2 linked regions of the Arabidopsis thaliana genome follow. The protein of the gene in region 1 purifies or fractionates together with the protein of each later gene. This does not show direct contact. Each region holds a gene or a part of one and is shown in the gene's direction. Other genes may lie near its edges.

Region 1 (4,666 bases):
GCACTTAGTGAAATGGAGACAAGCGACGATAGCTTGAATTTCTTCATCTTTGTGGAGTCTCGTGGCTGAAACAGAACCTCAGTGCTCGACCTGACAGTCACTTCTTTCGACTCTGCCCCTGAACTGCCTTCACTTCTGTAGTCCCTATACGAATACAGAACCTGCAACCTCGAAGGAGCTGCAACCCAAATCATTTTTTTTATTAATTACATAGCTCATTTGTAAATGTAAACACAATCGCGAACGCAAACAAATAATCAAGGTCTAAAGAGAATTTACCTAATCCAAACATGCTTGTTTTCTGAATAGAGACACGGTCGACTTTTGACCTTTTGATATTTCTTAAAGCCAGGGTATCTTCCTGCTTTCCTTTAAACTCGAGGAATTCCCCTAACACAATTTTGCTACTTTTAAGCTCCACTCTGCAGCATAATCAACTTTTAATGAAAACTCTTTGAACAGAACTACTTCATCAAGGGTTCAAGAGATGAGATGTATGACCAACTCAGACAATTTTTAAATTGAACGTCAATAAAGATGAGATGTATGACCTATCCCACGTTGGTGCTGTGCCAAGGATGAAATTAAGTTTTTGATGCGAAGATTCCTGCATCTCTTTTCCGGTGCTGAATGCGCCTTTAACCCAACCAGAAATTTTACTTTTTGATACTGGTTTTAGCTGTTGCCAATCTTCATAGGTAATTACCTCACTCGGGAATGCATGAATTGTACTGAAAAAAAACAAAAAGAAAACATATATTTATGCACCAGTAGGAAAATAAAGAATGTCTTTACAGACCAAGATAGCCACGCCCATGCACGCACTACAAGATGTCCTGTACTTCAAATTGATTGCTTTTTTGTCTACCTCTTGCAAGCAGGAAGATACTGACGGTAGCAAGGATAACGATAACATACCGAAAACTTGGATTGGGAATGACAACTTTGCAAGACACATTTCCTTCTAGTAAAGTAACTCCCCTCTGTTCAAGATATGATTCAAGAACTGAAGCTTGTTTCTTGACCTCCGCCAGCTGAGAAAACACACATCCATTAGTCATAAACAAGATTGCATAGATGCAAGATGCAGGTCAACTTTCCTAAGTCGATAAAAATACAGGAGATTTGATCAAGAGACTTGAAATGAAACGTGTAAGAACGATCCAGGAGAAAAGAAAGGATAACCAAGCACATTCGTATAAATAACAAGAATATTCTGTTTCATAATCTACTCAAGCGACAATCATACTCTCTACTTTGCCAAAACATATACACATTTACAATTCGATGGAGACCTTACATAAAATGAACATATCCAATTCACTGTGGTCGTGCAAAGAGAAAAACCCTATAAGCCTCTAGAAGTAAATCATCAGTGCTATTTTCTCACAATGACATAATTATGCAACAAGGAGATAGCAGCAGAGTTCCAATATATGTATCCTTTACAATCTAGAACAGAAAATTATAGAGAATCACTCACAAGCACTAAAACGACACTCTAATAACTTGGATGTTCAAACTATAAGCATTGTGTGTAATCACAAAGAATCAAACAAAACTTACAGGATCAGGGAAAGTCTCAGTAGTATGATGCTTGCCACCTTCACAAACCCAGCTACCATCACTAGTTACCGTAACAATCCCCGATAGATTCTTCACAGAAATCACTACAACATCTCCTTTAGTAACAAGAACAACATCAATGTCTTGTCTAGAAGCAGTGTCGGCATCTGGAATTCGAAGTCCTACATAAGCTTTTCCACCATAAAGTTTCTCAAGTCTGCAATAACAAATGGAAATCAGAATCAATTTCAGTGGAAATCGAGAATCGAAAAATGGAGTATGGGGAAAATCGGGAACCTGTGAGCAACGGAGAAGAGAGCAGTGGAATCGGAAGTTTCGACGTCGGAGAATTCGTCGTCGTAGAAGAAACGGCGGACGAGTTTGTAGATGACGAGACCGCAGATGATTTCAATCCACATCGTTTGCTTCGTCTTGTTGTTGAAATTTGGGAATTGGAGGATTGAGAGAAAAGAGACGATTCTTGGAAATTAAGAAAAAAGAAAAAACCCCAGCTGAAGTAAACGAACAACAAAGATGCTAAAAACTAACACAAAAAAGTCGGTTCAATCGAGCCATAAACCACAAAACTAACCGGTTTTGGTATCCGGTTTAATTTACAAAACAGTCTTCCTCTTCAATAAAAACCTAAAACCCTAATTATTTTCAATCAGACTTCCACTTTCGAAACCTCTCACCGAAGCTACAATGAGTATCATCGCAGGCTCCTACGAGAGATTCATTTGGGGTTTCAAGCTTAAACCCACGAAGCACGACGCCGAATCTCAAACCCTAACTCTCTCCCCTCTCTTCTCCTACCCTTCCCACATCTCCCCAATCACCACCGTCGCTTGTTCCGGTCCCGCCGCAGCTTCCGGCGGCTCCGACGATACAATCCACCTCTACGACCTTCCCTCCGCTTCTTCCCTCGGCTCTCTCCTTGACCACAATCACGCAGCTTCAATCACCGCTCTCTCCTTCTACACACCTTCTTCACTCTCCTTCCCTCGTAATCTAATCTCCGCCGCCGCAGATGGCTCCGTTGCTATATTCGATACTGATCCTTTTGTTTTGCTTAAGTCGTTTCGTCCTCATAAGAAAGCGGTTAATGATTTAGCGATTCATCCTTCAGGGAAGCTTGCTTTAGCTGTTTATCGTGATGAGTTCTTTGCGATGTTGAATTTAGTTAGAGGAAAGAGGAGTTTTTGTTGTAGGTTAGGTCATGAAGCTAGTCTTGTGAAATTTGATCCTAGTGGTGAAAGGTTTTACATGGTTGTGAGTAATAAAGTTGGAGTTCATCAGTCTGAAGATGCTAAGCTTCTTCTTGAGCTCGAGAATCCGAGCCGCAAGCGTATTCTCTGTGCTACTCCTGGAGAGGTTGTGTTTCTTACTCTTTGGAACCCACAATTGTAACTTTAGTCTCTTAATTGGAACATTTGGCATGTTCAAACTATTGTCTGTGAGTAACTTTGAGATTGTTGGCTTGTTGTTGAGTATTGGTTTACTAAGCTTTCTCTGTGAGTAACTTTGAGATTCTTAGCTTGTTGTGTATTGGTTTTGCTTTGATTGCTGATTAAATTGTTCTAGAGCTGCGTGATTTGGTTTGTCTCTTTTAATGCTTAGTCCTATGTTACCCATGTGTGCATATTGCAGAAGATTCCACCTTGGAACCTTAAAAGAGGTTAATTTAATACTATCAAAGTATGCAACCCTAGACTCTGATTACTCTTTTGGGAAAAGTGTTATAATCAGATAAACTAAAGGTTGCTTCTTTTGCTCAACTGTGTGTTCGGTTTAAGTTTATAAAGCCTCTGAGAGTTATCTCGCTTAATAGAGTTTCTCTTCCTTATTGATGCGGTGCTTGTGTTTTATTTGTGGAAATGGTGATAAATTTGATTTAGAGGATTTGTTCTTTGGCTTACAAATGTTTGCTTAATTTGCAACAGAGTGGAACTCTGTTCACAGGTGGTGAGGATCGGGCTATAACAGCTTGGGATACAAATAGTGGGAAGCTTGCATATTCCATAGAAGATGCTCACCCAGCTCGAATCAAAGGTATTGTTGTGCTTACCAGGAATGATAGTGACGGCTCCTTGGAAGATCCATACTTGATTGGTTCTGCATCGTCTGATGGGATCATACGTGTTTGGGACGTGCGAATGGCGGCTAAAGAAAATACAAAACCATTAGCCGAGACAAATACTAAATCAAGGCTTACTTGTCTTGCCGGGTCAGCTCTTAAATGTAAGTTTATTTTTCAGAATGTGTTTTTCTAAACCATACAAAGCCAATAAACAAACTCCCACAAGTTGTGACATTATGGTTGTTCATCTTTCTCTATGTTTATTCAGCTATGAGACGGCCACAGATTGGAAAGCAGGAACCTCAGAAGGTAGACGAAGAGCATGAGGACTCAGAATAAGAGCTGATTTTTAGTGTTTATTGAAAAATTGTGAGCTGACATTAATTTTGATGCAAGTTTTGGTAGAATCCAGTAGATTCTTGTCGAATTATAATTATAAACATTGTCTTAAACCATAGATTTTGTGAAAGAAACAAACAAAAAAAAAAGCATTCTACTAATATCATTTTACATGAGTTTTCATCAATTTGGACAATCTCACTTATGCATTGTGTTGTTCTTCTCAAACTTATCATTAATGATTATTGGGATACACTGAGCAATATGCAAAAACATACGACATGTTTGCTAAACCATCATCTTGTAATACCAAAAACATGACAAAGATAGAAAAGAGCAGCAAGTGAAGCCATATATATCCATGGATGTGTGACAATGATGACTCAATACTGAGTAGAGTTGTTGGGGATTTTGCCTTGTTTCAATTGAGAAAGAGCATATTCACCAGTACGGATGAGATCAGCGACATTGTGTTTCGAAATCTCCTCAGAGCCAAACAAGAAGATGGTCCTAACCTCAGCTTTCTTCGCAAGTCTTGAAGCATAACTAAGCTGCAATTTTGGCGAGTTAATGCTCCTAAGTAATTGTCGATACAAAGAAAGAACTTTTCCTCTGTTCTTTGCAGCCTCTTCTGCTGTTAACCATATCAGACTCTTCATGGCTTCGTCTTTAACAAAATTG
Region 2 (5,305 bases), 490 kb from region 1:
GTTGTCCTACTATTTTGTTTTTTAAAACAAACAAAGCTCAAGACCTTTCGGGGAAGGTTATGTGACAAGCAAAGACATATATACAAAACGGAGTAGTATTTGTGGAGATTGGAGAAGAACAATGAAAATGAATTTACTTGTGCTTTGTAACCGTTGTGTAATAACGGCTATTACAAGAAAAGTTTATAGATAAGATAAGTTACATGATCTCAAATGTTTCGATGGGTTTTGTTTGATTTGCAAATAGCTTCCTGAGCATATCACGACAGTATTCATGTCTACATTTTCTTTGTGGCCTAATTATTAAATTTAAGTTACCGTCGAAACTTGAACTTGAAACTTTATTTTTGCCAACACGGCAATGAGTTCTCTTGGAACATCTCACATCATCATCATCATCATCATCATCATCATCATCGATATCTGTAATAAAATAAAACAAAATAATGAAAAAGATTCTCTCACATTATCTTATTTCTCCACTTGATTCCCAGAAGACAAAAAAAAAAAAAATCAGAAAAAAAGAAGAAGAGAGAAACCATGTCTTCGCCGAGCAAGCGTAGAGAAATGGATTTGATGAAACTGTAATTTTTTTAATCTTATTATCTTATCAGTTTATTCTTGATTTTGAGCTCCGATTTTTTTTCTAATGTTTGTTTGGCGATTTGATTCGATTTTTTTGTGATGATTTGATGTGAGAGTTTAGGATGATGAGTGACTACAAGGTGGAGATGATCAATGATGGCATGCAAGAGTTCTTTGTCGAATTCAGTGGACCCAAAGACAGTAAGTAACTCAATTCGTCCCGTGAATAATTTAAATCATAGAGTTTTGATTCTGTTTTTTCTTGTTCTTGCTGCTGATGATGATCATCATAGGGTTTTGTGTCAATTTCAACTTATCAGTATCAACTTGTTAATTTTTGGTGATTTTATCTCTGTGTGTTTGTACTATGGACAGGTATATATGAGGGAGGTGTGTGGAAGATAAGAGTTGAACTTCCTGATGCTTATCCTTATAAATCTCCATCTGTTGGTTTCATTACCAAAATATACCACCCTAATGTCGATGAAATGTGAGTTCAATCGAATCAGTAGATCTTTTGGAGGAGTGATTATGTTCCTTCTCCAAATCTTGAGTGGTGCTTATTTGTTATCCCTCTTTGTATGTGGTTATGCAGGTCAGGTTCTGTTTGTCTAGATGTTATTAACCAGACCTGGAGCCCGATGTTCGGTATGATCATAACAAATGGAACAATATACAAGATAGTTTTAACTCCTGTTAGTTTTTGTTATGTTAATTATGATTTGGATTTAGTTATTCAGACCTGGTGAATGTGTTCGAGACATTTCTTCCGCAACTTCTTCTGTATCCGAATCCGTCAGATCCATTGAATGGTGAAGCAGCTGCATTGATGATGCGTGATCGTCCTACCTATGAACAGAGAGTTAAAGGTTAGATATTGAGTTGATTAGATTCTTGTTACCCTACATTATCTTATCTTCTTGCTCGGTTTCAGAGTATTGTGAGAAATACGCAAAGCCAAGGGCGGATACTGAGGAAATGTCTAGTGATGATGAAATGAGTGAAGATGAATATGCCTCGGATGGTGATGATGAAGATGATGTTGCAATCGCCGGTAAACTTGATCCTTAATCCCGCATTGGTCTTGATATGAATCATGTAGCTGGCTTAATAGATGGCTAAACCGGGGATGACAAAAAGAAGCTGGTGACTTTGTATGTATCATGTATATATGAATAATCAATGAATGTTTAAAGGTTCCAGTTTTAATTGAACTGTAAAATCTCTATTTCTCTTGTTGTTTACGTTGTCATTTTATGGTCGTTTAATGTAAATTATTGAAGCTTTTTTAATCTTCATGTTGTGCACCTCTGTTCAAAGTATAGTTTGTTGTAAATTATGAATGGTCTTACAGATTTATCTAATAAAATATTAAAATCACAGTATTATTTAAGACAGAAATGCCCTTATAGCTCAGTGGTAGAGCGTCAGTCTTGTAAACTGAAGGTCCGTAGTTCGATCCTGCGTGAGGGCACCTTTTTACCATTTTTACTATTTTTTTTCTTTTCCTATGGGCTTCTTTAGGCCCACATAATAAATAAACGGCCCAAAATAGCTAGCTATCTCCGCCTCACGTTTTGAATGACAAACACCTTGCCGTTTTCTCAACACTTCGCTATTTTTCTTCAGTCGTCTTCTTCTTCCGGCTTCTCTCGAAACCCTTACCTAAAACCCTAATCCGCCACATCCGTGTTTTAGCCTCACGACGAATCACGATGCAACGCAGACTCGTAAGGTTAAAAAAAGAGTATATCTACAGGAAAAGCTTGGAAGGTGATGAGCGTAAGGTCTATGAGCAGAAGCGGCTGATAAGAGAAGCCCTTCAAGGTCTAGTGATGATTTTTTTTTTCAGTATCTGTTGAAACAATCATTGATTCGATGTGTATTTTTCGTTTTTCTGATTTTGGTTTATATGGTTTAACAGAAGGAAAGCCGATTCCTACTGAGCTCCGAAACGTCGAAGCCAAGCTTCGACAAGAAATTGATCTTGAAGACCAAAACACAGCTGGTAAGAATTTGGAAGCTAGATTTTTCCAATTGGTTTGAACCTGTGATATGAATGGTTTGTGGCATCAGCTAATGGTTATCATCTAATCATGTTGTTACTAGTTCCGCGGAGTCATATCGATGATGAATATGCAAATGCTACGGAAGCAGATCCAAAGATTTTGTTGACAACTTCTAGGAATCCAAGTGCTCCGCTCATCCGATTCACTAAGGTATTGTTTTGTTTAGTTTCCGTCGTTGAATAGATGCTGACGTTATAATGTTCCTGATTCCTTTTCATTGATGGTGTGGTTTCTGTTGCAGGAATTGAAGTTTGTGTTTCCTAACTCTCAGAGAATAAATCGTGGTAGTCAGGTATGTGTGTTGTTCTGGCTTCTGCACTTAAAGTCATTTGGAAATATCTAATTCTCTTTTTTTCTGTAATCTGGTTTTGTTTTGCAATTGATCATTGCTTGTGGTTTCTTCATCGATGTTGTTAAATTGATTGCCAATGGTATTAGCTCCCTTTTGTTTCCTGGGTATAACTATTGCATGTGCATAGACTTGTATCAGATTATTGTTGAATTTATGCGCAACACTGGTCATATCAATGAATTGCATATTAGATCAAGCTTTATAATTTAAAATGTAGTTGAGTCTGTCCAATTCTGCAGAATCTAGATTTCAAATAAAAGCAAGACTAATATAAACGATCATTTAAGCTGGAGTTGTACTGACACTTATATTCAACACAAAACCTCTCTATGTAAGTGTAACACGGAAACTATGTTGCATTCGAATCGTAATCTAAGTTTCTTTCCCACTCTGTTAATTTGCAGGTCATTTCTGAGATCATTGAAACTGCTCGTTCCCATGATTTTACTGATGTTATATTGGTTCATGAGCACCGTGGTGTGCCTGATGGTCTCATTATCTCTCATCTCCCATTTGGACCAACTGCATACTTTGGATTACTTAATGTGGTAAGTAACTCTTTGAGGATCTGATTTTTATATCCAAATCTTTCTTCTTTCAACTCCTAGTTTAGCCTTTTTACTTAATCCAAAGTCCCTTCTGTTTAGGTAACAAGACATGATATTTCAGACAAGAAATCCATTGGAAAAATGCCTGAGCAATATCCTCATCTCATTTTTAACAACTTTACTACTCAGGTATATCTCTAGAGCCAAAATTCACTTCGTTCTTACTGTAATTTGGTATTGGAAACCATCAAGCTTCGTCGTGTCTCATAGAATGATCGCTCTGGTTTATTCATTTCTAATGTAAACATATTTTCAAATTTGATTTCCCTTTGTTTTGCAGATGGGTCAAAGAGTTGGAAACATCTTAAAACATATCTTCCCTGCTCCAAAACTGGATGCAAAACGTATAGTTACTTTTTCTAATCAATCCGATTATATATCATTCAGGTAAAATTTTCTCACAATGATCAGATTTTACGAATTTTAATTGGTGACATCAATTGTAGTATGCAAAGCCTAAGGTCTTAAGGCTTATGTTAGCATTTGGTAATCTGATCCACATAGAAACAGCATGTAAGAACACTGTAAATACAACAGATGGAGATTTTTATAAATTCTTGTGGGTATATATATATAGGAATCATGTCTATGATAAAGGAGAGGGAGGTCCAAAATCAATCGAGCTTAAAGAAATCGGTCCTCGATTTGAGTTGCGGCTCTACCAGGTACGCATTCTGCTTAACCGAATCAAAACTGTTTTCCTCGAGTAAAATAATGGTTTGATAAAGAATCATTCTAGTTCCTTAGTAACAATGTTGTTTCTGTGTAATGCAATTATTTTTGCAGGTGAAATTAGGAACTGTGGAACAAAATGAAGCAGAGATCGAATGGGTTATAAGACCGTACATGAACACCTCTAAAAAGCGCAAGTTCATCGGTGAATGATGACTAAACGGAACAGCTTTGAACCCTTTATCTAAATTCTGTTTTACTTATCATTCTGTTGGAAGAGCTGTTCAGTTTTTGTGTCCTTAGAGAAAATTGCGATGATTTTGTTTTAACGTTTAGCTTATAAAAACAAAACTTTCTTGTCTTCAATTAGTATTTATCTTCAACCATATACTGTTGCGTGAGTCATAATAAAAAATTTTGTAGTAGTATTTTTATCCACGAATTCAAACAAAAATTATCTGAGCAGCATCGAAGTGCTAAAAGGTATTGGAAAATGGATAAACACAAAATTGTCAAAATTCTAAACTATAATTTTTATTTTTTAATTATAAATATCTTTCATCGTGTTGTTATATATATATCAGTCCCAGGTTTCGTCTCATAGTTTCAGTTGTGTCTCTTTCATCTGATCATCGGATCTATCGGTAATTTACTTCTTCGTCTTCCTCAGATCGATTTGATCTCTGTGAAAGTCGCGAAATCGAATTTTAATTTCGTTTAATCATTTGCTTGCTTCCCAGTTTTATTTTTGTTTTTTGTTAATATTATATCGAATTTTCTCGGCCATATTTTTCATTTTAAATTCTATCCATTAGTTTTATAAAAGTCCATAACTTACTGCTCTGTGTTTTCTCTTTTGATTCTTCTCTGTTTATAGTGAGTAGAGAGAGTTATCATCTAGGGTTTATAGATTGGAGATTTTAGCCGCAACAAGGAGGAAGTGTTTTTAATTTAATTTTATTGTTAAGAGTTATTGTTGCTTTAGGGATTTTTAGAATTTGGGTGTTCTTTTAAATGGC

Evidence for each region.
Region 2: the proteins of AT1G65030 (region 1) and IMP4 fractionate together in Arabidopsis thaliana (co-fractionation; one large-scale study listed by BioGRID). This does not show direct contact.

Annotation. Positions count from the first base shown.
Region 1 is NC_003070.9:24,154,527-24,159,192, forward strand, and holds AT1G65030 (Transducin/WD40 repeat-like superfamily protein), read left to right. Parts: upstream 1-2,145; 5' UTR 2,146-2,271; coding exon 2,272-2,940; intron 2,941-3,509; coding exon 3,510-3,807; intron 3,808-3,914; coding exon 3,915-3,985; 3' UTR 3,986-4,149; downstream 4,150-4,666. Other genes in the region: AT1G65020 (plasma protein), read right to left, coding at 1-178, 280-422, 552-731, 919-1,034, 1,567-1,783, 1,864-1,985; AT1G65032 (COMPLEX 1 LYR-like protein), read right to left, coding at 4,369-4,644.
Region 2 is NC_003070.9:23,664,239-23,669,543, reverse strand, and holds IMP4 (Ribosomal RNA processing Brix domain protein), read left to right. Parts: upstream 1-2,171; 5' UTR 2,172-2,300; coding exon 2,301-2,412; intron 2,413-2,509; coding exon 2,510-2,593; intron 2,594-2,694; coding exon 2,695-2,804; intron 2,805-2,895; coding exon 2,896-2,946; intron 2,947-3,410; coding exon 3,411-3,554; intron 3,555-3,653; coding exon 3,654-3,743; intron 3,744-3,894; coding exon 3,895-4,001; intron 4,002-4,191; coding exon 4,192-4,279; intron 4,280-4,400; coding exon 4,401-4,499; 3' UTR 4,500-4,714; downstream 4,715-5,305. Other genes in the region: UBC5 (ubiquitin-conjugating enzyme 5), read left to right, coding at 541-584, 707-786, 961-1,075, 1,181-1,233, 1,326-1,454, 1,520-1,656; AT1G63770 (Peptidase M1 family protein), read left to right, coding at 5,301-5,305.